2 linked regions of the Pelodiscus sinensis genome follow. The protein of the gene in region 1 binds, or shares a complex with, the protein of each later gene. Links are inferred from orthologs where the notes say so. Each region holds a gene or a part of one and is shown on either strand. Other genes may lie near its edges.

Evidence for each region.
Region 2: the proteins of DLAT (region 1) and PDK3 are in contact, whole or in part, in a crystal structure (PDB 1Y8N), measured with the Homo sapiens proteins. The link is inferred for Pelodiscus sinensis from reciprocal best matches to the Homo sapiens genes DLAT and PDK3. Residues at the interface, in NP_001922.2 of Homo sapiens: Ala225, Leu226, Ser227, Pro228, Thr229, Glu248, Gly249, Lys259, Ala260, Ile262, Glu265; in NP_005382.1 of Homo sapiens: Arg21, Phe22, Ser23, Pro24, Ser25, Pro26, Leu27, Phe48, Lys51, Val55, Asn373, Lys374, Ser375, Arg378.

Annotation. Positions count from the first base shown.
Region 1 is NC_134736.1:6,908,742-6,924,952, forward strand, and holds the start of DLAT (dihydrolipoyllysine-residue acetyltransferase component of pyruvate dehydrogenase complex, mitochondrial), read left to right. Parts: upstream 1-9,475; 5' UTR 9,476-9,554; coding exon 9,555-9,794; intron 9,795-10,387; coding exon 10,388-10,489; intron 10,490-11,504; coding exon 11,505-11,629; intron 11,630-11,739; coding exon 11,740-11,896; intron 11,897-14,380; coding exon 14,381-14,507; intron 14,508-14,939; coding exon 14,940-15,121; intron 15,122-15,737; coding exon 15,738-15,885; intron 15,886-16,063; coding exon 16,064-16,131; intron 16,132-16,211. Other genes in the region: DIXDC1 (dixin), read left to right, coding at 194-302, 928-1,036, 3,269-3,349.
Region 2 is NC_134711.1:205,233,727-205,250,300, reverse strand, and holds the start of PDK3 (pyruvate dehydrogenase kinase, isozyme 3), read left to right. Parts: upstream 1-9,336; 5' UTR 9,337-9,489; coding exon 9,490-9,595; intron 9,596-16,574. UniProt on the Homo sapiens protein: Inhibits pyruvate dehydrogenase activity by phosphorylation of the E1 subunit PDHA1, and thereby regulates glucose metabolism and aerobic respiration. Can also phosphorylate PDHA2.

The sequences.
Region 1 (16,211 bases):
CTTTCTATAAAGAGGCAAGATCCTGCCCTGGAGAGGGGATCTAACAGGTCTTTCCATCATCTAATAGCTGTTTCCCATCTCTGCTCCTATGCTGAGATGATGATGATAATACCTCTAGGGGGAACAGGATTGGAAAGAAAACAGTGCCCTCTCTTGGCTGCAGTGACAGTGCTTTGTGTTTCTCTCTTTGCAGAATTGCCTCCTTCTCACAGCACACCCACTATGAGCAGCAGTGCCTGCACCAAAGTGCTCTACTTCACTGATCGCTCACTCACACCTTTCATGGTCAACATACCAAAAAGGTGAGACCTCTTTGCCACACTAATAGAATTTGGTTCACTGAGAGCACTGATCTTGTCCCTGGTGCTTCTGCTCACCAAAACATGCTCTCTGTCCCTTAAATCCAGCCTTTGACTTTATTTCATGGCCAAGAGGAGGTGGTTACAAGAAAGCAGGCCTAGGATGTGTTTGTTCACTTTAGGCCTGATGGAATTTCCCAGGATATGTACTTAGTTTATTTATTTAAAGCCCCCAGAAGATTGATCTTTGGTTTGTATGATAATTAATCTCTGGTTTTATGGGTGGGCAGCAGCCAGGCAGTTTTACTCTTACTCAAGTACAACACAAACCATTAGTGTAATTAAGATAGCAGCTATTGTGGTGACTGCACGTAGGAAACGTAAAAGAGTTGGTCTGGGTTTGTTTTCGGTAAAAGCCAAACACTATTCTGTCTGTGATCAGATGCTTTGGGTCGCACTCGGTATTTTCCAGACACTCTGGCTCCCTTCAGTGTACTGTCCATTGTGCCACAATATCCAGGCTGGTGCCGATGTTCAATGTGCCATATGATAGCTGTGTCCAAGCTCTTGATCTTAATCCTGTGGCAGAACGTGTCAGCAAAGATTGCTCTTAACTCTTGTTTTGCAGGTTAGGTGAGGTGACTCTGAAGGACTTCAAGGCAGCTATCGATCGGGAAGGAACCCACCGGTATCATTTCAAAGCCCTGGATCCCGAATTTGGCACAGTCAAGGAGGAGGTATCTTTGACCCCTTTAGTAGCAGCTCTCTCATAATCTAAGTTTGTGTGTGAGATCACAGCACAAGCAACAGCCTGGAAATCTCTGCCAGATTCACATCCCATGTGAGTGAAATCTCTAACTTGCTACAAAGCTACCGTTTCCAGAGCTACACTTTATGGGATGACAGGCCCCAAGTAAAGAGCCAAAAGCAGATGTCTTCAGGCCCCACTCAAAGCACTGACTTTCATGTGATCGCAAAGCAGCACAAGTGGTGGATGGTGATTTGCAGGGTCCGCCTTCACAGTGCCAGCTGATTCCAGAGATGCTCCCTGTGACCGTACTATTTGGGGGATGCAGATTCCAAATTGTATCCTTAAAAGGCAACTATCAGATGGTCTCCTACGTTCTGTAGCAGAAAGAGAGTCTTCCAAACAAAGCAGACACTCAGTTTATCCTTCCAAACTCTGTTCATAGCTTGATTTGGAGGAAGTAGAGCCAATGTGACACCTGAGTTGCAACCTGCAAGATCAGCACCCAGCTCTTTGGGTAGCACTGTCCTATATCAAATTGTTGGGCTGTTTGCATCTTACTGATGTCAGAGAAGTCTCCTGAATGGGACAGGCCAACGGGATTTGATCCATTTCTCCATCTATGCCATTGCTGCATTTGTTCCAGTTGTGGCTCTGTGGCCCACGGTTGTGAGCCAAGCTGGTAGAGATGGGCTTTCTCTAAAATATCCTAAATACTTGGGGCCAGAGTCAGCTCTGGCATAAGTGCTGCAATTCCTGTTGAGGTCAAAGAGCCTATTTATGCCACAGCTGAATGTGGTTCTTGGTTTGTAATTTGCTGTTTTCATGCAGCAAAGGTCCTCTTCCTTCTCCACACAGTAACCCTTCAGGGGCTCCCTTCCCTCAGAAACGTCTGTTAAGAATACATCAGTGCCAGTTTCTCCAGAGACAATCTAGCATTCTGAGCACTTGACTGGGAGCCAGGTGTTCTCAAGTTTTAATCCCAGCTCTGATGCTGCCTTCCCTCCCTGTGGACCTTGAGAAAATCACGATCCTTCTCTGCACCTCACATAGCCTGTCAGAAAAATTGGGATAATAATCCTCGATTTTTCTTTGAGGGGGAGGAGCAAGCTGTTTTTAAAGCATGTTGGGAACTTAGAGTATGTCTACTCTGCAGAGGTTTTTTTCAGAAACAGCCGTTTTTCCGGAAATACTTCACTTACATCCACACTGCAATCACGTTCTTTTGAAAAAAAAAAAACTGAAAGAACAGTGGATTTGTTCTGATATTGGTAAACCTCTTTCTACGAGGAAGAAGCCTTTTTCCAAAAGAACTCTTTCGGAAAAAGGCGTGTGTGGATGGGGAAGAGGGAGTTCTTTCGAAAAAAGAGGTAAGAGGAAAAAGCACAGGTGCCCTGGTGGCCACTCCGTCCATAGTAATCACAGCTTAAATGTGAGATAGCATCCACACTGTATGAATGCTATCTGTCAAAAAAGCACATCACTTTTTCGATGTGCTTATTCTATGTGGATGCTTTCTTTCAGAAGAAGTTTTTTTTTTTGGAAGATCTCCTCCAGAAAAGCGGCTTCTGAAAGAAGCCTGCAGTCTAGATATAGCCTTACTGAGCTGTGTAAGTGCCAGTTATTTGTATTGTTTGGTATAATAAAACAGGTTCAATCTCTCTAGTCTAATAATCTCTGGTCCAGCAACATCAATGGTCTGGAATGATTGTAGTGAGCTGGATATCCACTTATCATGGGTGTGGCCAAGTTTCCCGCAGTCCCATAAAGTTTGTTTACAGCCACCAGTCCTGGCTCTCAGTTCATGTGTGTTCATTTTTTTTAAATTGTATCCTTTGGTATATATGGTTGTGACTATTTTCTTCCATTATTTGATCTGAGGAAGTGGGTCTGGCCCACGAAAGCTCATCATCTAATAAACCATCTTGTTAGTCTTTAAAGTGCTACATAGTCCTGTATTTTGTTCTGTGCTGTTATTTAGCTCTGATTTACCCCCAATATGTCTTCTAAGAGCCCAGCAAGCAGTGGAATTGTTAGTAATGCTGCCAGACTATATTGACCTCATGACATTCAGCAAATTTTCTGGTTTGGCACCAGTCCGGTCCCAAGGGTGCCGGCCTAGGGATGTTCAACCTGTACCTCTGTCTCTCATGCTATGCAGATGTAACAAAGCAGTGTCTATCTCCAGAAGTGACCCGATTCTCTCTCTGCCTTTTTATAGGTGTTCCATGATGATGACATCATTCCTGGTTGGGAAGGGAAAATTGTAGCCTGGGTGGAAGAGGATCATGGGGAAAACTAATCGGACTTGTGGGTCTTGTTTTTGTGGGGACCTGTCACTGGCTGCACTGCTCAGAGAGAATGACCAAAAAGAGCATAAGCTGGGACACATCCAATTCAAGCTGCCAAAAGAGAGGACTTCTCTCAAACAACGGGTAAAACACTTTTTTGTGTGCGAGGATGCCTGGCGTCTAGCTTTCCATGGCCAAATGCAAACAGTGTTGTAAGACTGAATTTACAGGTTGGTGGGAAAGACTCATCTTGCTTTGTCCTGTCAATAAAACCCTGGAGGCCTTAATGACGTGTTTCTCCATTCTCCTGGTTCCCCCACCCCCTGAAACGCCTGCTGCTGTTTGGGGTCTGCAGGTTTCAGCTCTGATTTGACACATTCAGTATTATACAAACCTGCCCTGATCCCTGAAACAATAAGTTCTGCCCTCATGGATCAGAAAATGCTGCTAGATTCTAGTTTCTGCCAGAAGGTCTGACCAAATCCATTCCTGAGGTATGGGGCCGAAGGGGCAGCGCTCCCGCCAGTGAACTCTGCAGCCTCTCCACACAAAGAGCACCAGGAACTTGACAGTGAAAGAAGTCTGTGGATTGTGCTGAGCAGTACCAAAGCAAAGATCAACCTTGTCTTTCTTCCCAGATGCAGGCTTCCACTTCCTAGGGTTGCTTCTGCTGTTTGCCTACCAACTTGCAGTCAGATCTAAGCCCCTTTATTGCCCTGGAACTCTTTGGTAACCAGGTGCTTACTTAACAGCCAATGGATTTTTGTTTCAGAGGAGGAAGCAGGAACCTTCCTAACTTCCCAGCAGAGGTGATGAGGTACTTTTGCTTCTCCTTTTGCCAGCTCCTTTTCCCTGTAGCTATTACCATCCCTTCCCTTACCATATGTCCAGCAGGGCAGACAGAAGATCTCATCTACTCTCCCAGGGAACAAGCAGGACTGTTTCGTCAGAGATGAAGTGACAGAGTCTATTCTGTTGGTGCATCTGTATTCCTTTTTCCAGCTTTCTCTGTGCAGGCGTCACCATGCACTTGATGTTCACTGACTGACAAGGCCATTAAGCAAATAACCAAACCTGTAGGATAGACGTTGTGACTCAGCAACATCAGTACCATCCCAGTTCCCAGCATGCTTTTTCTCTGGCATCTAATGGAGTAGAAGATGGTGAGTTGGAGAACACATGCTACAATATCTGTTAGGGTGCGTGGGGCTATAAGCTTGCCGTGTAAACCTCTAAATCAGGCTGGAGCCCAAGCTCTGAATCCAGAATGAGCCCAAACAGCTATAATGCAATTTTATAGCCCTGTAGCCTGAACCCAAGTCAGCTGACACAAGCTAACCATGGGTATTTTATTGCAGTCTAGATATACCCTTCGGGAGATGGGCTTTGCTTTCCTACTGCCAGGCAGTCAGGTTTCTGCAAGGCTGGCTGCAGTCTGCACCAAACAGGCACTATTGACTGAAAAGGTCAAACAGTGAGTCCAGCCTCAGTCTGTTCACCTTTGGTACACGTGCCCCTTTGTTGGGCTGCCTGCTTGTCTGAGTTGTGCGCATGAGCTTGGGAGACGAAGAAAACGTGGTTTTATTATTTTATAGTAACGTGACCTTTTGTAAACTCATTCCTGTTTATTGGAATTATTTTGTACCAGTTTACATCATTGTCTGAGGTGTATATTTTTATACCAGTGCAAGTGCTTTCTGTATATTTCCACAATACTGTGCTGTAGTTTACTCATTTTCTAGAGAATGTCTCTGTGTTTTATACAGTCTCCTGTTAACACCGCACACAAAGTGTGTTCAATGACTAGCTTTATTTTACTACAAAAGTACAACTAGTTCCTATTGGTTTTATATTTTACCAGCTGTTTCTTGTATAAACAGGAATTACACATAGTTTGTCTTATTACTTCCTCTGTATGCAGGAAGGGCTTGGATAGCTTTCTGACCCCACTGGTAAAACATGGTAGACCATTATTGATCTGTTCCAGTTCGTGGGCTGATTTACACATACTTGTCTTTACAAACAGCAGCAGAAACATCAGCATTTGGGAAAGTTCCTCAATGGGAGAAAAGCAGTATCAGTCCTGAAAAGAAACAGAAATTCTCTTCCTCCCTGGAAAATCACTGGTTTCCCTATTGCATGTGTTTTAGTAAGTCGCTGTAAGACTGCATGAGTTTATCATACAGAAATGCATTGTTGCATTTCAATTGCAATTTCTCTTAAATGACTTTTAATTCAAGTTTTACTAGTCTGCTTAATTTCAGTAAGAGTTGTGTGTTTTAGGTGAGACTTGTCCATTTTATGGAAATAATTAAAACAGTAATTTTTCAAAAGGCCTCCACATATCCGTCCTGTATCCCTCTCTGCTTTTAAGAGATGAGCAGTGTTGGAGTTATCTATGGTGAGTCGATGGCTGACATAATTGCTATTGCGACAGTACATCTCACTTGTAGGTCATCTGTTTCAGTTCAGTTTTGCTCAGTAGTGACTCTGATCACCACTCAAGCAATCGCTGGCTGATGGTCTAGATGGAATAAGTTGGCAATCTCAGTCCTGTTCTTAGTGGTTTCACATCACCATAACCACTGTCACCATCGAATCTCCTGTAGCCAATCATAGCAGAGGGGCCAAGGACTGAATAAGCCTTGGAGCCACTTACTGTCCTGTGTTTTCTTCAGGGCATGGGCGAAGTACATTTGGAGGCAGCACAGAGAAGGAAACATGCACTACCCACAAATGTTCTGTAGATTTAATTCTGTAGCACTGTCATCCAAGCACTTCATCAGTACTAAAAACACTTAGGCTGTGTCTACACTGGCCACTTGTTCCGGAAAATCAGCTACTTTTCCGGAATAACTTGCCAGCTGTCTACACTGGCCCCTTGAATTTCCGGAAAAGCACTGACAATCTACTGTAAAATCATCAGTGCTTTTCCGGAAAAACTATGCTACTCCCGTTCGGGCAAAAGTCTTTTTCCGGAAAACTGTTCCGGAAAAGGGCCAGTGTAGACAGCACAGATTTCTTTTCCGCAAAAAAGTCCCGATTGCGAAAATGACAATCGGGGCTTTTTTGCTGAAAAGCGCGTCTACATTTGCACAGACGCTTTTCCGGAAAAAGTGCTTTTCCGGAAAAGCATCCTGCCAATGTAGACACGCTTTTTCCGGAAATACTTATAACGGAAAACTGTTCCGTTTTAAGCATTTCCGGAAAAGGGTGCCAGTGTAGACGTAGCCTTACATACTAGAACAGAACCCTTGTTCCCTCTGTGACAGAACAGATTGTTACTACACTGAGTTCAAACCCTTGAAAAGTTTTGGCAGAACTCTGACTTTGGATATGCATATTCAACACCCGCCAAAGTCACTGCGATTTATATGAGAGAGCCTGAGGTCAGAACTATTCCCTTTCTCATATTATAATTGAAGGCCAGGGTCATGCCATGATCCCATCCCAGGACTGCTGTCCTCAGAGGCTTAAACACCTGCACCACTTAGGTTCAGCTTTGTTCTGTAATGACATGGCAGTTTTCTCTTGATGTCCTGTCACTGTATAAATGAGCTGAAAGGCCTATGAATTAGGTCTGGAAAAGATGTTAACAAAATAAAGAGGAACAAGATAATCCTGGAAAAGAGTAGGTATACACGGAACACTTTTCCTCTCACTTACACCAGTTTTACATAGCATAACACCATTCACTTAAATTGAGTTAATCCCGATTTACAGCAGAGCATATGAAATCAGATCAGACATTGGACTTGGTCTTTATGTTTTCCTTTGATTCTAGATAAGTTTATTTCTGCCTGACTTTCTTCAAAGCTACTTTCTGGTTTCCTTATCGTTGTAACTTGGTTATTTAACACACATGCTATATATAAAGTTATATTTTCTTATAAACTATAAAAGTTTGCATTCATCACTCTTTGGAAAGTTAGTTTCTCTCAATTTGCATGTCCTCCAACAGAGTGAGAACTGAGGTTTATTGGTATATCTAGGAGCTGGATATATGTGACTGGATGTACTTTGAATTTTTGGACCAAGAAAAAAAATCTCAATAAACTGTAGTTTGCAAATGGTGTCTAATCAATCCATTTATGTGGGGAGGGCAGTGGCTTTGAACTGAAGCTTCTCATTTGTGATCGGTGTACAATGCTTATGTGTACAGGCCTGTTAGCTAGGTGCTAGGAACAGAATACAGTGCAGAAGGGACAATCTTGCACTAGTGGGTCTTTTCCATCTGGTTCCCAAGATCTTCAGAGACGACAACTTGAACCTCACCTTGAAGAGCAGATTGGATCCAAGTATACTAAACAGCTCTGGGCTCATCAGTTGCTTCCTTACTTCCAAGATTTGTATTAATTTTTAAATAAAAGTGAGCCTTTGAGATGATATTTTAAAATTACAACTAACCCCTGACCCAGACCAAATTGCTCATATAATTTAAAATGAAATGCAGTGTAATAGCTTTTGGGCTCAGTGCACTGAAACTTGTGAGCACGTACTCCTATAGCCACAGACTTTCATGTTTGTGCATGCAGGGTGCAGTGGCTGGGTTTACTGATGGTGATAGCACTGTAGAGGCTACTTCTGGGTGCTGAAAACAGTTCTTGCTAAATAATTTAGAAGCCCTAGAACAGTAATAATAACAAAAATACACATCTGTGTAGAGAGAGAACTTGCCAATCAAGGATTTCAAAGCACTTTACAGATGTTAATGTTTCCTCTCCACCCAGGAAATCACTGAGGCTATGTTTACACTATCACATTATTTCAAGATAAGTTGTGAAATAATAACTTCCAAAATAACTATTTCAAAATAAGCTTATTCCTCTTCACAAGCAGGAGTAGTTATTTCAAAATAATAAGCCCATTATTTCGAATACCTTATTTCGAAATAAGGGGAGTTATTTCAAAATAACTCCCCAGCGGAGACATGCCCTAAGGGTAGCTGAAGGATTGGAACATTTAACCAACGGGGAAACTGAGGCAGAGACACCCTGAATAATAAAAATTAAGACCTTGATGCTAAAACCTGTGCTTGAGACCAACCTGGCACTATTTCTGAAGTTGGTGGCCTGCTGCTGGGGGCCTAAGCAGAACAGACGTACAGGTTTGATTGTGCTCTAAAGCCAACTTCCCAGCTAGGGAACAACCTCATGTTCCTCACCTGGCAAGTGATGACAAAACCTGACTTTTATATCTCACAACTCCCTCCCTCCTAGGGCATTCTGCGGGTCTGCATGAGTTTAAACTCAACCATGTTCATAGTATGTGTAGCATTTTTCCTTCATCAGTACATACAAGAATCACAGCATCTGCCTGTGAGTCATAAAACAAGCATCATAAAAGGAGCTACATTCCCCACAGGGGCAGCACGGTGGTGACCAGGGAGGGACTTGGTTGACAGCTGCAGAAGGATGCACTGAATCAGCACATCTGGGTTCAGTATTTAGCTTCCTGTAACCTTTCACCTTCCCAGTGCCCAACTGCGGAGCGGTCTTGGCACCAATGGGAGTGAATAGAACAGAAGAGACCCCCCAAGTGTCTGTGATTTTTCCCTACTCCTACCCTGCATCAGATCCTTTGTTCTATCCTATGCCCCCCATCTCTGTGCTGTCTTTTATCCAGTTATTCCCCCAAACTGCACCTCCACCCCCGCTATAACCCCCCCAGACTCCACAGACCCTACTGATCCCCCATCTTCTCCCCACCTTGCCACCAAAACCCTTTGCTCCCAGCCCCCCTCCACCTCCCTCCAGCCCTCCTTCCACCCTCCTACTCCCTCCCCCCAACCCCCTACTCCTCCCTCCACCCCCCTTCTCCCAGTCCCCCTCCAACTCCCTCCCCCCAACCCCCTCACTCCACCCCCTTCTCCCAGCCCCCCTCCACCTCTCCTACTCCCTCCCCCCAACCCCCTACTCCTCCCTCCACCCCCCTTCTCCCAGTCCCCCTCCAACTCCCTCCCCCCAACCCCCTCACTCCACCCCCCTGCTCCCAGCCCCCCTCCACCTCTCCTACTCCTCCCTCCACCCCCTCCCTGCCTGCCCCCAGCTCCTCCCTCCACCCCTCTCACTCCCCAGGACGCTGGCACGGGGAGGGCCTCTGCGCTTTGCGGCTCCTCGCGACACTGTCGCTGCCGTAAAGCGCGGTGGGCGCCCGGAGTCGGAGGGGAGCGAGGTCATTGCCGGAGCTGCCGGCGGGTCCCGGCTCCGCTGCAGCATGTGGCGCGTGATCGCGCGGCGCCTGGCCCCGTGCGCGGCCCCGCGGCGGGTGCCTGGCGGGGCGGGAGCGAGCCCGGGCCGGGGGGCCCGCGCCCTGAGCGGGGGCAGCCTGGGGCCCGCGCGGGGCCGGAGCAGCCTGGAACCGGGGCCCGGGCCCGCGGGGCTGCTGCTGCCGCCGAGGGAGCCCTGGCCCCGCCCCGCCCCCCGGCGGTGGTGCAGCCTCCCGCCCCACCAGAAGGTGAGGGGCCGGGACTCGAACCCCCGGGGCTGTGGGGGCCGCTCCCAGCCTCCCCCGGCCGGGGTCACCCCCTTGCTCCCCCCCCCCGCTGGGCTCGTGTCCTCCGCGACCCTGCGGCTGCTCCCTGAACCCCCACTGCACCCCCCCACTGAAACGTCCCCCCCACCCCACAGACTCGCCCGCCAGGCCTTGGAGCAGGGTCCGACTCTTCCTAGGCCCCCCAACCAGCAGGGCGTGACCCCGATCACCCTAGAAGCCGCTTGCTGAGAGCCCAGTAATCTGCCCTCGCTGAGAATGGATCTCCCGATACTGGGATTTGCCCTTGTCCCCCTGCCTTGCACCGCGTCATTAGCTGCCCTTTAGCGCTCAAGGGGATGAGTGCGGCGAGTCTGTCCCAGTTATGAGGCATATTGGGAAGAAGGGCTCTGAATAAATATTGTTGCATTAGCTTTATGGTTACTTTATGGTTGACACCTTGATTGTTTCTGGATACGAGAGCATGAACTGGCCTCTCACCTTTCTTGGTGGAAGGTTGTTTCAGGGCTGCTTGTAAAACATGGTAATTTTACTGTGACTGGGTTGTTCTTTTGCAGGTGGCTTTGCCGTCTCTTTCCCCTACAATGCAGATGGGGACTATCGCTCGGTGGGAGAAGAAGGAAGGGGAAAAGATCAGCGAGGGAGATCTGATTGCAGAGGTACTGTGGAGAGGTTACTCGCGACCAGGAGGACCAGTTATGGGACACCAAGCAGTGTTCCCTGTAAGCTGTGCACTTGTGCAGCTGCTCAGGAGAGATTCCAGTACTTCCCAGCTGATTAGCAGAGTGCCCACAGTTAGGTTTTTTGTTTCTACTGGTGGTGCACATTTCCACATATCGTGGTGTACATAAACTTTATTCCACATATTGATAGAAAAATTCCGCACGTGGATGGAAAAGCTTTAAGGGAACATTGGCACCAAGGGACAGTTCTTGTGGATGAGATCTCCCTTAGGGCCTCTCACTTTCTGGTGGGATGGGAAGCTACACCATCACTAGAGGACAAGACACGCTATCATTTCTAAAATTGCCCCCATACTAAGTACATGCCCCGGATTTTGTCTCAGGTCACCCCAAGCAGATGTAAATGTTCTGACTTCATCCTTACTTCTTATCTCTGATTCAGCATTGTAAGTTTGGCTCCCACCTCTCATCAGCCCATAATGCCAGCTTCTAGTAGCCAATTGTTAAATTTTCAAACAAGCACCTTATATAAAACAAGTTATACGTATACAAAACCCAAAGAGAGTCCTCACCCCAGACACCTGTGTTGGGAAAGGAAGGACTCTCTAGGTTTTTTTATATATATATGGCACCTGGCACAGTGGGGTTTTGATCAATGTCTGGGGCACCTAGGTACAATGAAATACAAATAATAAAAATATTCTTCTGAAGCCTTTTTATTGAAGGAATTAAAAACAGCCACAACCCCACTGCCTCTCCGCGTTGCCTGCTGTTTCTACCTCCTTATGAGAGCGATTGAACCTTATTTGCTCTACAGTGTCTTTTCCTTTTCAACCAAGTTGCTGCTGCCAGATGAGCTAATTCTCACCATGGCTTTATGCACCAGGAATCTTCACCTCTAACCCACAAACATCAAACTTCATGATTCTGAGCTGATGTGAAGGCTCCCCCCGCCCCTGCCCCATTACAAGATCATTCTCTTTCTGCAAAGGTGGAAACGGACAAAGCGACGGTGGGGTTTGAGAGTATGGAAGAATGTTACTTGGCCAAGATCCTGGTATCAGAAGGGACAAGGGATGTTCCCATTGGGTCTGTAATATGCATCACAGTTGAAAAGTAAGTGGATTGATCACATCTCACTAGAATACTGTTTTGGGAACCTGGCAGGCTGGGTGCTCTTGATGAAGAATTTTTTTCTGTATTATCTTCTTTCATTCCTGTTCTAGGCCTGAGTTTATTGATGCCTTTAAGAATTTTACCTTGGATTCCATAGCATCTGCTGTCCCAGCAGCCTCAGTGCCTCCCCCTCCAGCAGCAGCTCCCCCAACACCAGCTCAGCCTTCTGTGCAGGCTCCAGGAAGCTCTTACCCTCCTCACATGCAGGTAAAGCATATCCATATCCTCAGTGAATTATTCCTTAACATTTGTCGGTGTCTCTTCTGCCTCTCTAAAACTGTTATATCCTAGGCACTGTGATGTGGATACAAAGCATAGGTCTCACTGGCTCTAGCTGCAGGAGTGTGGGTCAGTTGATCTATTCTGCAGATTTAAAATGGGCTTCAGTGGGGGGACCCTGATCTGTTATATTTTGAAAACTTATAGGGCATCTGGTATCATCTGAGGAAAGTCATTTGCTCCCCCTGGGATTCCAATTCCCACAGGCTATAAAAAGCTCCCATGTGCACATAATTCTCTCCTTATTAGGAGGCAATGATATTGACTGGTTAAATGTGGCTAGCAGAGGGCCTAACGACATAGATGTGGAGCAAGGCATGAAGGCACCCAACAAGCCACATGAAGCCACGCTCTGTCTCTGGCCCAGTGACTGTTCTCCTGAGGATAAATACCTAGTCATTGGACTAGAATGGGAGAGAGAATAATTATGTAATCCAGTGCTTAGGACACGCCCCGGGAGAGGGGAGACCCTGGGTGCAATCTCCCTGCTCCAGCTACACGTTCATTATTGATCCACAATGGAACAACTTCAGAGGAGAGAATGAGGGAGCCCCACATCAGAATATCCCATTGCTCAGTGTTTTGAGTGTGCTCTGGAGAGGTGGGAGATCCCTGTTCTAACCCTTTCTCACCCTCTTAATTAGAGTGGGAGGGTGACAGGGTTGATTCCCCACTCTGGTACAATGAATGCAGAAGTGGGGACCCACAAAAATACCCCAAAACCTTCTCTTTCCAGGCTTGGATATAAAACTTCCCCCCCAAAATCCCAAAAACCTAGATTTTGGGGATAAAAATCCGCTGCCACCACCCAAGTAATGGTAAGAAAACCACGGAAGAGATCACTTGGGAAATCTCAGCCCTGAAGTAAAACCAGGACACACAAATTAACTAATACCAGCTTAATAAAAAAGAAAGGAGGGAAAAACCAAAAATTCCTTTGTCTCAGTTTGAAATCCCTATCTGCATTTCTATTGGCTGACTGCTGCCTGGCTAGATACAGTTAACTCCTGAATCCCCAGGCTGCTGGCCATCCCTCATGATCATGACAGAGGGTGAGGATTGAACTTTGATCTCCCACGTCCTAGGGGAACACTCAGTTGCTGGGCTGAAAGTTATAAGGTGTGGGGCCCCACCACCACCTCATCCTCCAGATGTTTCTGTGTGGAATGAGACAGGCGCTGAACTCATTCCCATAAGAAGCGTCTTAGGTGGCTGGTTCCCCTTCACGGTCACTAGCTGAGATAGGTGCTTCCCTGCAGCCTGCGCACAAGTGCTTATCTGTATGAGAGAGGCACACTCCCCTGTTGTTGGCATTGGCTGGTAGGGATGTTAAAATGGTTAACTGGTCAAATTCTGGGGCTGATCTGGCCTGGCATGGCTGGCCACCATCGGAGTTCACTGGCAAGGGCCGATTTACCTCTGATTACCAGTTAATTATTTAACATCCCTACTGACTGGCTTACGTTGTTCTCAGTCTAGTGTGCTGGCTTTTGCGGATAACTTTCTAAAGTGCATTTCTTCCCATTCATTGTTTAGGAAGTCTAGGCCTCTAACTTTGGTTTGTGGCTTGCTGAAATCATGTGATTTCTGTAGGCCACTAAACGTTACAAAAGGGATTTAGGAGTTTCATTACACCCTCTGTTACTCTGCTGGGTCCCAGTTATGTGGGAGGGGTGATGTTTACCAGTTAACCATTCACATCCCTAGTAAGGATGTTAAATTGCGGTTAATTGACTAGTCGAGTAGTCAATAGAATTTCCATTGACTAGTCGATAGGCACTTCCGCATTCCTCCTTGTGCAGCCTGGGGCCAGCAGAAAGTCCACTGACTCCAGGCTGCACACGGCGTGCCAGCTTTGAAATGTAAAAGAATCCCCGTGGCGGCATTTCAAAGGGGCGCTGTAGAGCCCGAGGTCAGCTGCAGAATCCCCAGCTGATCCCGGGCTCCCCGTGGCATTTCAGTGGAACCTGGAATCAGCTGGGGACTGACCCCAGGTTCTGTGGAAATGCTGGGGAGCCTGGGATCAGCTGGGGACTCCTCACTGATCTTGGGCTCCACAGCGCTCCTTTGAAATGCCGCCTCAGTGTTTGAAAGGGGCAGCGACACACAGCTGAGCTGGGGATCAGCTGTGTGGTGCTCCTCTTTGAACACAGCCTCGGCATGTCAAAGGGGCATCCTCGCACATCTGAGCCCAGGCTTGGCTCTGCAGAGCTGCCCCTTTGAAATACTCCACCACACACACACATCTCTTCGCTGCTTCTGTCGGTGGGGGAGGAAAGTAACTAGTCGACTCGTCCTTGACATCCTTAATCCCTAGCTCATTCTCAAGGGTAACTTGCTTGTTGGGGTTACATGCTCCTGTTGACTTTCAGTTGTCTGTTGTGATACACTCGCATTCTTTTGACTCCGTAGATTCTTCTCCCGGCTCTCTCGCCTACAATGACGATGGGTACGGTTCAAAGGTGGGAGAAGAAGGTTGGTGAGAAACTGAGTGAAGGAGACTTACTGGCAGAAATTGAAACAGACAAAGCCACGATAGGTGAGCAATTTTTAGCCCTAAGAGGGACAGTAGATTGTTCTGTAACCTCTTGAGAGTGATTCATAGTAGAGCTTCAAAACAGACTCTTTTCCCACTGGAAGGGGCAGCTGGCCTTGGTGTAATGTAAAAGGAGCTATTTAAAGCTATTTCTTGTCCTCTTGTAGTTCTAGTTGATAGAGCTGTTAAAAGCAGCTCCCAGCTTTGCACCAATCCTCTTGTGTTAGACCTGCCTTACGTGGAGACTTCTCCTCGTTCAGTTTTGTTTTAAAGATCCATTACAAATAGCAGGAGTTTAGTTACTGGAGGAGACTGAAAGCATCACCTAGAACTCTTCATTGTGCCACTGTGGTAAGGTTGTGAGGCCCCAATTCCAGCTTTTTCTGGCTGTTTGATCTTACCCAGCATTCATCAGTCATTTTTTTTTCTTTTAAGGCTTTGAAGTGCAGGAAGAAGGTTACCTGGCAAAAATTCTGGTTTCTGAAGGAACAAGGGATGTGCCCTTAGGAACGGCACTCTGCATCATTGTGGAGAAGGAGTCTGATATTCCAGCATTTGCTGACTATAGGGAGACTGGAGTAGCTGACATCAAACCACAAGCACCACCCCCCACTCCGGTAAAGAGGATCTCTGAGAGGGAAGAGAAGTAGGGAACCATTAGCATAATCTGACCTGAATAATCCTGCTGGACTTTTGAAGATGGAACTCCAATCCACGTGTTTGTGGGATCATGAGTGGAAGGATAACATGAGATGGATACAATATGTCAGTCTATCTTCTGGGAACTGATGGTGGTTGTTCCCTACACCTGTTCTCCGGGCTACTGCCTGTTCTAGTTTTAAACACCCCAAATGATGAGGATGTAAATTACTTACTGCCCCTTCCTCTGGGAGATGATTCCACAGCCCAATGAGTTGTACACCCGAAAAGCTTTCTGATAGAAGACAGTATGAGAAAATGTAATCTGTACCTTCCTAAATAATAATTCTTCCTTATCCTTGTAGTGTTCCCCACCTCTGATTCTGGCCACCGTTTTGCTGCTCTAGCTCTTACTCTCTTCCTTAATCTCCTAAATCAGCCCCTCCAGCCCTGATCACTTTTATTGCTCATTTATGAACATTCTCTGGTTGGTTTCTGGTAACCAGAGGCCCACGTTCTCTTTGCTTTCTCACGTGTAAGACTTTAGCTGAATATCTGTGCAACTAACGACTGTGTCTAACCAACTCTCTTAAGGTGGCAGCTCCTCCTCTCCAGCCCACTGTCCCTTCAGCTCCAGCAGTCTCCCCACCTGGGGCTCCTGTACATAAAGGAAGAATAATAATTAGCCCCGTGGCGAAGAAATTGGCAGCAGAAAGAGGAATCGACATTGCACAAGTGAAAGGTGAATTACCATTTCCGTTCTTATCCAAGTCTCTTTTGCCCTTAGATGTGTGCTTTGCTGTCAATTTCCTTCCAGTTAAGTGACTGTATTGGAAAGGGAGCGGGTTCCATTTTTATTTGCATGTTCCTAATATGGCATTGCATGAAAACCTCTTATGTTTCATGTATACCTCCACCAGGTACTGGACCAGATGGCAGAATCACGAAGAAAGATATTGAGTCATTTGTGCCTCCAAAGGTTGCCCCTGTGAGTAGGACTCAAATCTGTGAGCTCTGGTACTACTATTACAACAAGGGTATGGAGCAGCTTCTGCTCTTGGGAAGCAG
Region 2 (16,574 bases), on another chromosome or scaffold:
GTGAAACAAACAAGAGGAAAAACCCAATAACACTTGGAAGAAATAGTTTAAGAGCAATTACTGGTCACAATAATACTGTAAAAGCTTTAAAAACAGAGGCAGTGAGTTTAATTTTAGTCCCATGTAAAATCTAAAACAAATAACTAAGGGTATGTCTACACTACCCCGCTAGTTCGAACTAGCGGGGTAGTGTAGACATACCCTAACTAAGCTATCTGTAAACACTAGTGAGTTTGGCATGAGGAACCCAGTGAATAAGAAGCAACACAGGTTAATAAAATGATCAGGTCAAACTTGATAACTTCCAGGCTATAATTAAACATCTATTAGAGAAAGACGAGCCGGTGGGGATAATGAAATGAATTCAGTAAATGTTTGATACAATATTGGATTACAAAAATCTCTGAAGCTGGAACAATGAGATAAGCCTAGAAATATCATGTGAAGTACCCATCTCTGTGCACTGTTAGGCTATTGAACAACACAAGGAATAGCACATTCAAACTTATCCCAATGAACTCTAGGCATGGGCAAAATGAGTAAAAATAAGATCCAAACCTGTGTTCCCACTAAGATTTTCCATCCGTGAGTGGAGTGAGTTTTGTCTTGTGCACCAATAGTGAGGTAATTTGCACTTGTTTGGATGTGTGCCACTGTGGAACCCAAGTTATTAAAAATATCTTATATATATTTTGTAAAATGTTATGGAAGAAAGAATACTGAAATAGGATAATTAACAAGGTTCATGATTTTAAATGTTTATTTAATATGAAGTCAAATAAAAAGAAAATTAATACTGCAAATTTCTGAGTAGCCAACATCCTCTGTTTATAGCTCTCTCCCAGGCTCTTCCCCAACTAGATGTAGAGCAGATGAACTTCCTTCCAGTCCTGTGATTCTATGATTACTGTTAGAATTCAAACACCAGAAGGATATTGGAGGGTTTGCTAGCAACATCAGAGGTATGAGATCCAGCAGAAAAGTAAGGACACTAAGGCATGACCACAGCGCATGAGTGCAGGAATGCTGAAAGAGTGAAAGATGTATCTAAGTCCCCTTTGTGCCTTCTATATTTTCCATCTTGCCAGAAGCAAGTCCAGATGCTGTTGTACAGAATGTTAAACTAGCCTCAGGGCTACTGTAATGGTGCATCTACACAGCACCCTAAACTCAAAATAAGATATGCAATTTGCACTACGCAAATTGTGTATCTTATTTTGATTGTATTTCAAAATAGCTTATTTCAAAATTTGGGGCATCTACACAATGCCAAATTTCGAAATAACAGGCTATTTCAACACATCCCTTAACCCTCGTGGAACAAGGGCTATAGGGATGCTGAAATAGCACACCCGTTATTTCAAAAAATAACAGGCGTGTTTAAAAGATGTGGGGTAGATATTCTGGGATACTTCCAGTATCCAGAAATAGCCCTGTTGTGTAGACCTACCCTAAGTCTGCATTGCTCATAGTTCCATAGAAGTCATAGGAGGCCAAGAATAAGCACAGTGCGACTGCTCTAGATTTCCTACAAAATGCCCAAAACGGGAGCTTTATGGGGGGGAGGGCACCACAGAGCCATTTCATTGGGTCTAAGAAAGCTAGGGAGTCCCCTACCTACACTGGGGATAAGACCCAAGTAGAGAAGGGTCATCACTGCCTTTAGGGTACCTTTGTGCCACTGGAGTGCAAAATGGCCACACTGTATAATGCTGCACAAATAGCATGGACACCCACCAGCACAACCAACTGGCACAACCAGGCAGTATTTGGGGCAGGGTGTGTGCCTTTCCCTTCTCCACAGCCGTGATGGGATCCTGTGGCACACTGCTGTGGAAGTCAACATCATCCCCCTCCCCAGTGTCTGAGCCATGTTGTTGCTGTCTGCACAGGATGGCAGAGCAGCAGCAGGACAAGCGGCAGGTAGTTCTGTGTGGGCTGCAGCAGACCCAGAGCGCTGAGCAGTGCCGCCATGCACCTTCCCCTTGGGAAAGCTGCCTCCACCTCCAAGGCAGAAGAGAAAGGCAACTCACTCAAGGGCTGGGATGAAGGCCTAGTGTCTCCAGCGCTGCTCTGCCAGTGATGGCAGCCTGTTCCAGCAGCAGCTCCCCTGCACCCCCATAACACACCATGGCCCAGCCCCTGGAGCAGCCACACTGCAGCCCCAGCTCCAGGCCTGGCAGCTGCCCCGTGGCCTGCCCTGGGAGCAGCTACCATGCAGGCCTAGCCCAGCTCCAGCCCTTCCCCAGGTCTGAAGCTGGGGCCACAACTGCATGGTGGCTTCCCAGCTACTTCTGGGGGAGGCCCTGGCCACTTGAGGAGCAGCTGGCACCGCTGCCACTACGTGGCCCTGGCTCTGGTGGTGGACAGCCATGCAGTCCTGGCCCCGGCAGGCAAAGGAGCCATGGCACGGCCACATAATCTGGGGCCGGCTCTGTAAGGTGGAGGAGCCTCTGCCACAGCCCCCGGAGCAGCTAGGCAGTTATTATGTGGCCTTGGCCGCAGCCCTGGGGAGTCGGGGACATCAAAGAGATTCCCAGATGAGCCTTCCCCACCCCCCCAGCTGTAACAGCAGCAGCAGCAGCAGCTGCACCTCACCTTCCATTGGCATTCTCTGCAAAGGAGGTGGGCGGGCAGGTAATTTTTTGTGCATGGCCATGCAGCCGTGCCCCTTAGGGGAAACTATGACTCAAACCCAAATTTTTTTTTAAGGTTGGGAAAGTTTAAAGGCCCTTGTCCCTTACTCATTTCATGTATAAAAAGTGATCCCAATATATCCTCCTTCTGTCCACTGACTTAATTTATGGTTCTGTGTTTCTCCCTTGTTTCTACACATTATTGTTGAGGAAATAGCACTATGAATGGATGTGATTTGTGCATCTGAAGTGTAAATAACTATATTCGTACCTGTTTCTCTGTACTCTGTTTTACTGTCATTTTGTAAAATAATAATCCCAGATTTTCTATTATGATGAAAAATTAGTTTTCTTAGAGTGATTATAAGGAACAGTGATTTAATATTCTGAATGGTTATTAAGAATGGAATTAACTAATTTCAGTTGGACAAAATATTCACTGTAAAAACCAAACTTTTGGAAACACAGGATGTGAAATAGAAAAAAAAGGACTCACCTACACTTAAAATATTACAGAGGCACAGCTGTGCTGCTGTAGCCCATTGCTGCAACACTTCAGTGTAGAAACTACCTCAATTTTCCTGTTGGTGTAGGTAATCCTCTGGAAGGGGAGATAGCTAGGTCAATCTACATGGGGACTCTGGTTGGCTTAACTGTGGTATTTTGGGGGGTGGATTTTCCACACCTGACCGACAGAGCTAATCGAACAATTTCTAATGAGCAGCAGTCCACAAAAGATTATAAAAAGTGAGCATGTGTGACTAAATCTGAGTTATTTCATCGTAAGTCTCACATGAATAAAGATTAGTGATATGTGTGAGAGCCTGATAAAAAGATCTTTATCTATTAAGTGCATAGTATCCTATAAAAGTATCAAAATATCTAAAGCATAAAAATAGAAAAAAAAAAGTACAGATTGAACCTCTAAAATCTAGGACTCTCTGGTCTGGCAACATCCGTGGTCTGGCAGGACCATGGATATCACTGGAACAGAGAGCCCCAGCTGCCCAATTTCACAAGTGCAGCTCAAGCTGGGCTGGTGGTGGGGAGCTCATCCCGAGCAAGGCTGGCACAGTGGGGAGTGCAGCCCTGGTCAGGGCAGGTGGCAAGGAACACAGCCCCAGCTGGAGCTAGAGGCAGTGGGGTTAGCAGCCAGTAGCGCAGCCCCTCAGAGGCTGGTGAGGTGGGGAGCACAGTTCCGGCTGAGGTTGGCACAGTCCGTAACACAGCCTTGGTTGGGGCTGGTGTGGTGGGGGAGCGCAGCCCCAGCCGGGGCTGGAGGCAGCAGGGCCAGTGGTCAGGAGCACAGTCCTGGCTGGGGCTGGCAGGAGAGAGTGCAGCCCCAGCCAGGGCTGGAGTCAGTGGGACCAGCCACTAGGTGCGCAGCCCGGGCTGGTGCTGTGGGAGGTGCAGTCCTGGCCAGGACTGGAAAGGTGTGAGGCTGGAGGCAGCGGCAGGGAGTGCAGTTCCAGCCGGGAGCAGAACCCTATATCTGGGTAGGGCGCCTTGACCTCCCCTTGTAGGACAATGGAGGTTCAGCTTGTAATCAGATTTTCAAAAGTGGCCATTGAAGTCAATGGGAGTGGTGGAGCCTCCAAACTTTTGAAAACTCAGGCCTTTGGTGATTCAAACTGGGCACCAAAACTTGGGTACTTCTGAATATTTTGGTTGTAACAGTCTACCTGAAAAACAGGCAAAAACCAATCTTTACAAAGTAAGTGAACTTAGACATCAACAGATGATTCTGTATTCTCATATCTGTTATGGAATGCACTGAACTCCCACTGTGAGGCAAATCCCTCTGCATCCTCCATAGTTGCGGGGACCTTTTAACGGTAAGGCTACGTCTAGACTGCAGGCTTCTTTCCGAAGGAGCTTTTCCAGAAGAGATCTTCTGGAAAACCTTCTTTCAAAAGAGAGCATCTACACAGCAAAAACGCATTGAAAAAGTGATCTGCTTTTTTGAAAGATAGTGTCCATCTCGCATTTAAGCTGTGATTACTATGGATGGAGTGGCCACCAGGGCACCTGTGCTTTTTCCTCTTTCCCCTTCTTTCGAAAGAGCTCCCTCTTCCCCATCCACACACACCTTTTTCCTAAAGAGCTCTTGCAGTGTAAGTTTTTTCGGAAAAACAACTGTTTTCCAAAAAAAAACTCCGCAGTGTAGACATACCCTTTATGGACCACTTTCCCTTGAATTGTCCCTTGAAATATGTATGTGCTAAACGATCTGGGCCACCTTGTGTTTAGCTGTGACATTCCAAATATATTGCCCAGACTGGAAGAAGAGCTCCCTGTAAACCTGAGAGCTCATCTTTCTCACTAACAGAAATTGGTCTAATAAAAGATATTACCTCATTCACCTTGTCTCTCTAATATCCTGGGCTAATGTGGCTACAACAACATTGTAGCCTTGAGGGCGGGGGGCTGGACTCGATGACCTCTTGAGGTCCCTTCCAGTCCTATTATTCTATGATTCTATGATAACACTGGTACTATTGAAAAGTCACTTACCAGACAGCTGTCTGTGACTGAGTGAGGTCCTCTGCGGCATGGCAGACATGACCTATGGATAAAAGGAGATTCAGCTCAACATTGCCAGAGGACTGGGCAGAGCAATAATCCCTGCTCTGAAACTGACACCCTCTGTGGCCTTTTGTCAAATCATGTAGGACAACATTTTCAAATGTGGATGTCTAAACTTAGGCATCTAAATCTAAGTCAAAGCTTCCAGTGACTTCAGTCTGAACTTTGAGGCCTCAGCATCTCTAAAAATAAGGCCACTTTGTTGTAGATGCTTAAATATAATCAGGTGCTTACCTTCATTTACTCAAGTTTGAAAATTGTTGGTCTTACCTTCTCTGTGCCCCATTTTTCATCTTTTGTTGTTTTTTTTTTCTATAACAGACTAACTCGGCTACTCCCTGAAACTGCTCAGTAAAATGCAGTTTCCGAGCGGTAGCTGTGTTGGTCTGCAACTTTTGAAAAAACAAGTAGTCCTAAGACTAACAATATATGTCACGAGCCTTTATGGGCAAAGCCCACTTCTTCAGATGAGTGGAGAAAAAGAAAAAAATCTCCCAATGTAAAGCAGAAAAAGAAGAGAGAGGGGAAAAAACACTACAGAAATCTAAGGGAACATTTTAACCTGCCTGGGCACTCATTAATGGATTTAAAAGTAGCCATTCTTCTAGAAATGAATTTCAGGAACCAACTAGAGAGAGAGATAGGGGAATGGGCCTTCATTTGCAAATTTGACACTATCTCTCGGGGACTGAACAAAGACATGAACTGGATGGGCCATTATAATCAACACCCAAATGACATCAAAAGCTAAGTATGGGACACTTACAGCCCACTCAGTTAGCCTCATTTAGCAATGGCACTACAATTGACTGCGCCCCCACTTCTTTTTCTGCTTTAAACTGGGAGATTTTTCCTTTTTCTCCACTCATCTGAAGGAGTGAGTAGACAGAGAAAGCAATATTTTTGAAATTTGAATACCCACTTCCATACAATAAATCTGTTTTTATCTGACTAGCAAAGAAAAACAGTAATATTGTAATTACCTCATATGAAGCAGTATCAAGTCCCCATTCTCTGTAAGACTATTTATCTAGTATACCCAGGTGTGCAATATGGCCTTGATCCTTCAAACATACATATGCTCACAGTTAATTATATATATATATATACGTTTACATGACTGGAGTCCAAGTTCAGTGCATAAAACATACCTGGTTTGAGTAGAAGTTTCTCCATTGGTTACATTTATTATTATGACATTTCCCTGTCACTATATCAGTTTCCCTTGCCTTTTTGTTTTCCTCAGCCACACAGTCTGGCTACGTCTACACTGGCCCCTTTTCCGGAAGGGGAATGTAAATTTTAGCAGTCGTCGTAGGGAAATCCACGGGGGATTTAAATATCCCCCGCGGCATTTAAATAAAAATGTCCGCCGCTTTTTTCCGGCTTTTAAAAAAGCCGGAAAAGAGCGTCTAGACTGGCCCCGATCCTCCGGAAAAAGTGCCCTTTTCCGGAGGCTCTTATTCCTACTTCGAAGTAGGAATAAGAGCCTCCGGAAAAGGGCACTTTTTCCGGAGGATCGGGGCCAGTCTAGACGCTCTTTTCCGGCTTTTTTAAAAGCCGGAAAAAAGCGGCGGACATTTTTATTTAAATGCCGCGGGGGATATTTAAATCCCCCGCGGATTTCCCTACGACGACTCGTGAAATTTACATGCCCCTTCAGAAAAGGGGCCAGTGTAGACGTAGCATGTAAGTCTCTCCCAACACTGCTTTCAGACATGAAAACTCAAACAATACCAAGAGATATAAATATACCTTGGTAATAATAATAATAATGATAGTAATAATAAAATAACCTAGAAGTAGCAATGGCTAGAAAAAATATGAATTCTGAAGTCTAGGCAGAGATAACACAAAATGCAAAGTTGTGAAATGGTTAAAGATACAAGCTACCTTTGAAACAACTATTTCTTAGAAAATTATTGTAGGCACACTAAGATTTGGGGAGACATTTTGACTCTGAAGTCAGTGACAGCTGTGGGATTCGGCTTTTCAAAAAGAAAAAAGAAAGAAACTTTTAAAAATATTTGAATGGCCTTAGGCTAATGCATAGACAGCTTGGTTTGGTGGATGTGACACTACTCAGGATACTTCCAGGTTCTATCCCAGCTCTGCTACTGATGCTTTGCAACCATTGGCACATGATTTTTCCTTTCTTTCTCTTTCCATCCCCTTTCTGTCTTACCTATTTAGGTGGAGGGTATTTGCAATTTGCAACAGGAATGTTCTCTTATGATGTGTTTATACAGTGCCTACCACAATGAGACCCTGATCACTGTTGGAGCATTCAAGTGCTACTATAACATAATAACAATAATGCTTCATTTGTGTCAGCATTCATTGACAATATTCCTTAGACATGTGGGCTCTAAAGAGTGTATCAGACTGGCAATGGAGCAATCCTCTCCCTGCACATCAATAAATTATGCTTTATTGTGAAGGAATGGGTTCACCCGAAATTCCAGGCACAGGTTCCAACATTTCATTTAATAGGTGAGTCCAACCTCCTCTCTATAGCCCCTTTCCTCCCCATAGGAGTGTCTCAAGCCTTTTGGTCCCTTGCTTCCCACCCTGAAATTTATGTTTACTTTGAGGCTAAATTTAGCCTCTAATTACCATATCCAGACTAATACAGCCACCTACATTCATAACTTTCCAACCCTTATAAAAGTGCATTGCCCCTTCCTTCCTAATTCACTGCTGCTAACCTCTGAGATAAAACGATCCCCAACTGTGTGGCACCTAATTCCTCAGATACCAGTTTTACCTATGGAGTTGCTGTTAACAGTGTCATTCTAGGTTAAGTCACCCGCTTTTCTGTTCCCCATAAAAGTAGATGTTGCTGTATTATAGTCTTTTAGGTGGATATTACTGTATGTGTCCCCACCTATGGGGCTAGGCAGTATTACTAGATGAGTTAGGCTGTGACTTCATTAGAAAAAAAGCTGTTTAAACCATGTTAAAATCCAACCCATCTAAGCTAGTCAAGGGGGCATACCTAGTGGGGAATGTGAAGGTTTTCCTTTATCAGCTAATATGGGTTAAATACTACAACTTGCCTGATCTACATTAGAATTCTAACACTGGTTACTTAACATGGGTTAAACATACATCATTGCCTGCAGGTCACAAGACCCTTAAAGTCTCTGACTTTGTCACTGCAAAAGAAGTTCATTTTACATTGAGACACCTAGCTCCAGAATCAAGATCAATGGAGATGAAATACAGTTTTTACTTGGATGCAGCTAGTTGAGATCAACCTGCACTGCCACTTAGTGTTGACCTCAACTAGCTTACATCAAGGTAAAGGTAACAGTGCTTTATTCCAACTGGGATTTTACATTAGCCATCTAAACGCATCTTTGGTTGCTTTTTTTTCAGTGAACATGCCACCTGTTTCCCAGTGTGGAGAGAAAGGGTGTGGTAGAGGCTGTTCTCCTGTGAGTCTATGGAGGGGGGTAAAAGGAAGAGTATTTTGTTGGGTGGGTGTATTTTCATTTAGTGGTGCCCCTAGCGTGAGTGTGAGAGTGGTTGCTGGGCCTATGGCAGTATTTTCCCTTCTGTGGGGGAGGCAAAGACGGGATCATGCCAGTCTCTGACCTTGCCCCAGGAGAGACATAAAGGGTGTTTCTCTGTGTGTGTCTCTCCCCCTCTGCCAGAAGAGACATGGAAGTTGTTGCGGCGTGTTACAGTCGCTATGCAAGGAGGGCTACATGGAAGGTGTTGCTTTGTGTGTGGCAGTCTCTGTCCTTGTGCCAGGAAGGACACCATGGGGAGTGAGTGTGTGAGCGACTGACAGTCTCTGCCTGTGCCAGAAGGCACATGGAAGGTGTTGCTCTGTGCCAGGAGGGCCACATGGGAGGTGCTGGGGGGCAGAGTGTGTGTGTGTGAGTGTGTGTGTGTGTGTGTGACAGTCTCTCCCTGTGCCAAGAGGGAGAGGCAAGATGTTGCCCTGCCCTGGATGAGGGCCCCCCCCTTTGACAACCTCACTTGCCCCACTACGAGCCCTGCCCCGCCCCAGCCAGCTGGGGGGGGGGGGGTAAGTCAAGTGGGGGGAGGAGGAGGACAAGGGGGAGTATCTGGCGCATGCGCTCGGGCGACGGCTGCGCAGTGCCCGGGCTCTGGCGGCTACAGACTTGCGCGCGCGTCAGGTGCTGCCGCTCCCCGCCCCGCCCCCAGTGACAGGCGGCGGCGGCGGCGGCCTCGCAGGTGCCCGGCATGCGGGGGGGCGCCGCTCGCTAGGCCGGGCGGGCGCGGCGCGCGCACCATGCGGCTGTGCGGGGCGCTGCTGCGGAGCCCGGTGCCCAAGCAGATCGAGCGCTACTCGCGCTTCTCCCCCTCGCCGCTCTCCATCAAGCAGTTCCTCGACTTCGGTGAGTGGCGGCAGCGCCGGGGGGGGGGCGGCGCAGCTCCCCCCCCCCCCCCGCGCGTGTGTCCGTCCGTCGGTCCGGGGCGGAGCGGGGCGGCTCTCAGGGACACGGGCGTGAGGAGGCGCCCGGCCCCGCTGGCGGCGAGCAGGCCGCTCTCCTGCGCAGGGGCTGCCGCCGGGGGAGGCCCGAGCAGGCTCCCCTGTCAAGCTGGGGCCCTTGCCCTGGCTGCTCTGGGCGAGTCTGCCCGGCCAGGCCCCCTGGGGTAACCCTGCCCGGCTGCGTGGAGGGGGAGAGGCGGGAGCTGGGAGTAACCGAAGTGCTCAGTGGCCTGCCCCGCCATGGGGCTGCAGGGGCCTGGTATCGCAAGTGAGGAGCCTTCGGAGCTGGAGGGGTCCAGGCTGAGGGGCTGGCTGGGAGCAAATGGGCTGCGTGAGAGAGGGAGGCCGCTTCTTCTGTGACTAGAGTTGTCTTCCCTGCAGGGCTCTTGAGTTAGCTCTGGAGTGAGCCTCCTCCAGGTGAGAGCAGTCTCACTGCAAGCCCTACAGAGTAACTGTGTTTGCACGAAGTGCTGCACCCCCATTGCATTGGTCTGTGGTCTCCAAGCATTCATTTTCTCCTCCATGCGGACTCTGAACTGCCTATGGTGGAGGAACAGTTAAGTGACGCCCATGATCCAAGATAGTAGGATCTGTGTGTGATACTTTCACGAGGAGGCCAGCGTGCCATACCATATTGTACTGTTGAGTCAGTGAAAACAGTGCCTGTTTTCAAGGTTTTCTGGAAGCCGTTTTCAATTAATGTGGGCAATGCGAGTACTTGGTCGTGTATGCTATGGCCTTGGGGAATCCCAGTTTGGTCAGAGCTCAAAATTCTCTCCACTTCAGGTAAAATGTGCCAGAGGGCCAAGTGCTCCAGTGTCTTTAAGCATGCCAACAGTAGTGAAATGGGATGATAGCTTGATGCTTGACTAGGGTCCTTACCAGGCTTTGGGAGGCCAATGTCTTTTGGAATGCACCATATCTCTGGTAGCTTGTCTTCATTGTTGACTGTGTTAAAGAACTGCACAAACTAAGGCTGAGCATGGGGGCCAAGGATTTTCAGGAATTCTGGCGATATGTTGTCATAAGCCGCAGCTTATGATAGTGAAGACCCACCAAATTGAGGGCAGATCACTCTGCAGGCAACTCCTGTACTCTACTTTCAACGAGAAAAATGGATTTAAGAGCAGGTTAGATAAACATCTTTCAGGGATGAAGATGGTGCTTAATCCTGCAGTGAGGGCAGGGAACTGGACTTGATGACCCCTCAAGGTCTCTTCCAGTTCTAGTAGTCTAGGAAATTGACAGGAGAGTTTCTCCCATCGATACCCCCCCTCCCTCACTGTAGCTTGACCTAAGGTACGGCCACCTACTTTAGATTGGATTTTCTGCAGTACAGAGTTAGACAACTTTCACTCCTTTGATTCTTCTCATGTTCTCCTGATAGTCTTTCTGGCATTTTCTAGGCTTGATTTCCAACATAAAAAAATAAGGGAAGGCTGAAAGAAAATGTTTTAGGCATTCTTCACTGTGTAAAATAAAGTTCAAAACCATTTTTTCTGATTTGATGATTTATTTTTAAAATAGCCCCTGCTGTATCTGTTAGCAGCTGAAATGTCCTGTGATAGACATATTAATTATTTGAAGGGAAACTGTCAGGTACTCATAATAACCCCAGAATTAGGTTTGTGTAAATGGAATTGGGAACAGAATGAATTAACCTTAAAATCAAAAATGTTTTGTTGGAACTTAAACATTTTTGTGCTGTGTGTTTGCAACTCAAACAAAAGGTATTGGTCCAATACAGTAGTTCCTTAGCTACTTCTTTTAGACCTTTCTTGGATTTCCTCTTCAGGCAACCCAGAAATACTCCACTGAGCAACATAGCACTATGACTTATGTTGCTCAGTGGAGTATTTTTTTGAATCCATGAACAATGTTATACGGACATAAAGGCTAGTGTAGGCATAGTGTTGTGTGTCTTCACCAGAAGTGCTATAGTGATGCAGTTGTATTAATGCAGCTGTGTCACTTTGGCTGCTATAGTGTAGACATAGTCTCAGAATATCACTTAAAATACAAGTTGACATGAAGAAGAGCTCTGTTTAAGATAGGAAAGCTTGTCTCACTCACCAACAGTAGTTGGTTCTACAAAAGATACTGTCTGTCCCACCTTGTGTCTCAAATACAAGGAGAAAAAGATTGTTCTGTATAAGTAATTTCCCTTGAAATGTGTGGTAAATAGCACATTAAAACCCCTCACTCATAAGGAGAGAGAGGTGGGGGGAAGCAAATGGATGGGGGAGATTGTGGGTGGTTTACAGATTATAGTAAGCCATAAATGCAGTTTCTATTCAGTCCATGATTTTTAATATCTAGCAAAGATATGAATTTAAGCTCCCAAGATTGTCTTTTGAAAGTGTTGTGTAGATTTCCTTTGAAGATGAAGACTTATGGGACAGATGTATAGTGATGGCTTTGTGAAAAGTGTTTGCCTACTGGAGTTACGGTGTTTTTATATTTTATAATTTTCCTCTGAGAGCTCATTTGTACCTCGCCCATCTTTGCTCTCTAATATCCTTAGACCATCAGGCATGCAAAAATATTGAAAATTAGACTTTGAAAGTACTTCCTCTTCTTATGTATTACACTGTGTGTGTGGTAAAATAACAGTTTTTAACCCAATGTTGTCTTGTGTACCTTTGAATTTCTTAAGTTAAATGTATTCTCACCTGTGTGGGGTGTGTGTGTGTGCATGTTTTTTTTTTTTTTTTAAATATTCTTTGGGTGCTTGTCTTTGTCCTGGTCTACGCTGCAAACTTATATTGGTATGACTATGTTGCTCAGGATTTTCACATCCATAAGCAATCTGGTTATGCTGACCAAATTCCTAATGTAGACAGCTATATGATGGGATGGCTTCTTTTGTTGACATAGCTACTGGCTCTCAGGGAGGTAGAGTACCTAAGCTGAAGCTGATGGGAGAGGTTCACTAAGTGCCGCTGCAGCTCTGTAAGGCTTAGTCTACACCAGGAGTGGGGAACATAAGGCCTGGGGTTTGGATGCGGCCCCTGAGGCTCAGGACTCCCCCACAACATTGGGGAGTCTGTGGGGTTGGAGCACACAGTCTACTAGCTTGGGCCCCACTAGGCTCTGGCGAGGGGATTGTGGGGAGTGTCTTTTTTCCTTCTCAGTTGGGGGCCATATCAGTGGGGATTGCAGGGCTGTTGCTACATTTCAAAGGCGAAAGCGCTGCAGGGAGCACGGGGCCAGCAGGGGACTCATATAGTCCTCTGCTGGCTCTGTGCTCCCTGTGGCGTTTCCAAGAAGCAGTGCCACATGGAACCCAGGGTCCCTGGGCTCCACACGGCGCTGCTGCTTTGAAATGCCGTGTGGAGCCTGGAGCAAAACGGCAGCTGACCGCCCCCCCACCCCCTCCCCACTGCCTCTTTTTTTTTATGCACTCCGTATGGGTGGGGAAGTGACTAGTCAACTAGTATGTTGACATATCTGATAAGCATTTGGTGTGTCTCAGGAGGGGTTAGGGAAAGCTCTGACAAAAACATAGAAAACCAATGTAACAAACAACAGATTTCATTGCTGGTAATTGGACCTTAACTAAGGACGAATGAAGCCCTGTTCTATGCCCTGGTCAAGACAAGATTAATGACTGGGCCTCTTTTTTTTTCAAGGCTTTCTTATCTCATTTTCTCTCATTTCTTCCTAACTAGTGAACTAAGTATTTCTTTTATTAAACTAAACAAACCAATTATTTATTGCACATGTGACCCAATTACTCATATTTCTTGTAGTTCTGTGATCTCATCCCTAACCGTAAACAATTTAATACTGGTATTTCAAGAATAATTATAAGTTTAATACAAATAATCCTCCTTTCTTATTATTTCCTTCTTTTTGGACACATGCTTTTAGCCTATTTCTCATGTGTATATCTAAACTCAGTTTAAAATCATAGTTCAGTCAGGATTAATATGGATCTATATTTCTATAAAGTACATATATTACTGGTCTTGATTTCATTTTCTTTCCACATAACTGTGATCAAATAGTAATCACTTGTACCTAAATTACCATTACATTTTACTTCTCTGATTAGTTTCTCTTTATCTATCAAGACAAGGTCCAATATGGAATTTCTCTTCGTTGGATGCAACATTTTTTGGGTTAGGAAATTGTCAACCATAATATTTAGAATTTCCAAGGATGATTTAGTATTGACAGCACGAAATTTCTGTCTTTCATAATCAAAAAGCTCCCTCCCTCCCCCACATTATCGAAAGGTGCCTAAGAAGCCTTTTATCCTGTTTTGTAGGGTAATTTGGTGATATATAGCAGTTTCCACCTAATATGCCATCATGTGCTTTATCTCTTAGCATATTGTCTAGACAGTTTTCTTTCAGGTTGTCAGTGACCATCAAACAGGTACGATTGATGGCATAAGCATCAACTGAGACAAACTCCCTTCTCTTTCATACACTCAATCTTTCCGTTTAGGACCCCTGGTTTTAACATTTCAACCCTGGGAATCATCCCACCAGGTTTCAAGTAATATTAACTAGATTAAATGTATTTAACTAAGGAAATAAGTGTATAAACTATACACATAAAAACATATTAAAAGTTAGTTAACTTTTAAGATTGCAAGCATAGCTGCCAGATGCCTTGGCTCATGCTGATGTGGGCAAATAAACTATGAGAGTCCATTGCAGTCCTGTATTACTTTCAGTACAGGGCATTAGGATAGCTGGGGGTATATGTGGACTGAATGGAGGTTGCTGCTAAAAACATCAGCTGAAAGGCCTGTGGGATGCATGTACACCTCAAGAGGGGCACCCATAAGGGACTATACCTGAAGAAGAAAGATGGATTAATCTCTGGACTGGAAGTTGGTGGTTGACCAGAGACCAGTGATCTTGGCCTGAGTGCATACAATGTGGGCAAATGGGACATGTCTAACCAGTTTTTATTTATTTATGAATATACAGGCAGTCCCCGGGTTACGTACAAGATAGAGTCGGACTGTAGGTTTGTTCTTAAGTTGAATCTGTATGTAAGTCGGAACTGGCGTCCAGATTCAGCTCCTGCTGAAACTGACCGCCAGTTCTGACTTACATACAGATTCAACTTAAGAACCCCAAGTCAGCTGCTGCTGAAACTGATCAGCCGCTGATTCCAGGAAGCCCGGGGCAGAGCAACAGTTATCTTTTAGGGCTGGGGTGCTGCCGGGTTGGTCCAGTAGTGCCCAGAGCGGCGCTGCGGGACCAACCAGCAGCACCCCAGCTGCTCTGCCCCAGGGTCCACAACAAAAGCCTGGTCTCCTGGGGGGGGCACACCTGCTGGGGGGTGCCTCGCCTCTGAGGCTTTGCTCTGGCGCGGGACCCGCTTTGCTCCCGGTGCCCCTGGTCTGCTGGAGATGGTCCCCAGCAGACCAGGGGCACCGTGAGCAAACCCGCAGCCGTGGCGGGGTCCCGCGCTTCTGAGGCTTTGCTCTGGCAAAGCCTCAGAAGCGCGGGAACCCGCCGGGGCTGCTGCTTTGCTCCCGATGCCCCTGGTCTGCTGGAGACGGTCCCCAGCAGACCAGGGGCACCGGGAGCAGCTTTTCTCGCCCCAGATGTCAAGGTGGCTGACCGCTGCCTGTGAACTCCGGGGCGAGAGAGCCCCGTTCGTAAGTGTGGATCCGACATAAGTCGGATCCGCGTAAGTCGGGGACTGCCTGTGTACACAAACTTTCTCAGCTTCAGAAGAGCCGATATCCCAACATTTAGGAAAAATATGAGCAAAATTTACTTGATGGAAAAGTTTAGACAGAGAAATGTGAATGAAGATTAGGAGTTTATTGGATGGCCCAAAATAACAATTTCATAATTAAGAGAGGGCAAATTTGACTCCAAGCTCTTCCTGGCTCAATGGCAAAGGAAAAAGAGCTTTTGAAATTAAAAAGCATCTATAAAAATGAAAATAAGGGAAATGATTAGTAATAATGATATATTAGAAGTTATGAAGAGTGGAATATTGAGAGATGCTAAAGATCTCCAGAGAAAAATCCAAGCTTGGCTAAGAACAATAAGAAAGAATTTTTAAAGTATATTAGAAAGAAGAGAAATCCTGGCACTGGTATAAGCCCGTTACTAGAGGGAAATGGTAAAATTTAATTATGCAGATAGGCAGAAATATTCAACAGGTGTTTCTGTTCTATATTTGGAAACGGGCAGTGTGGTTAGTTTTGCCATGTGAAAGTGCATTCCAGTTCAGCAGTAACTGAGGAAGATGTAACTAAGGAAGAGTGTTAATATATCAGTTTTTGAAAAAGGAGTATGACCCACATAACCATAGACTGGTTAGCTTCACATCAGTCTCAGGCAAATAATGAAAAAGCTGATATGGGATACAGTTAATAAATAATTAATGTTAGTCCACACAGTTTTATGCAAACCTGATAAAAAATTTTATTAACCAAATTTGTAATTTCAAAGATAACTGCATAGAAGCAATATATTTAGACTTTTGTAAGAATTGCACAACGTTCTGATTTTAAAAATTGGCACAGAGAATATCAGTAAAGCACATATTAAATGGATTAAGAACTGGCTAACTAACATTTCAAAATAGTTGTCTTGGGAGGAATCCTCAAAGGTGTTCTTTCTGGGATTCCACTGGGGTCAGAACTGGACTCAATGTTGTTTAACATTTTTATAAGTGATCTAGAAGTAGATATAAAATCACTGCTAATAACATTTGTGGATGACAAAAAGATTGTCAAAATTGGTAAATAATGAGGGCTAGGCAGTTAAACAGAGCTGTGTGGATCGCTTAGTATGCTAAGCTCATTCAAAGTAAATGCATTTTTAATACAGCCAAATGTGAACAAATGCATCTGGAAGAAGGATATTTAGGGGTCATAGCTGACAAGCCAACTTGCCATG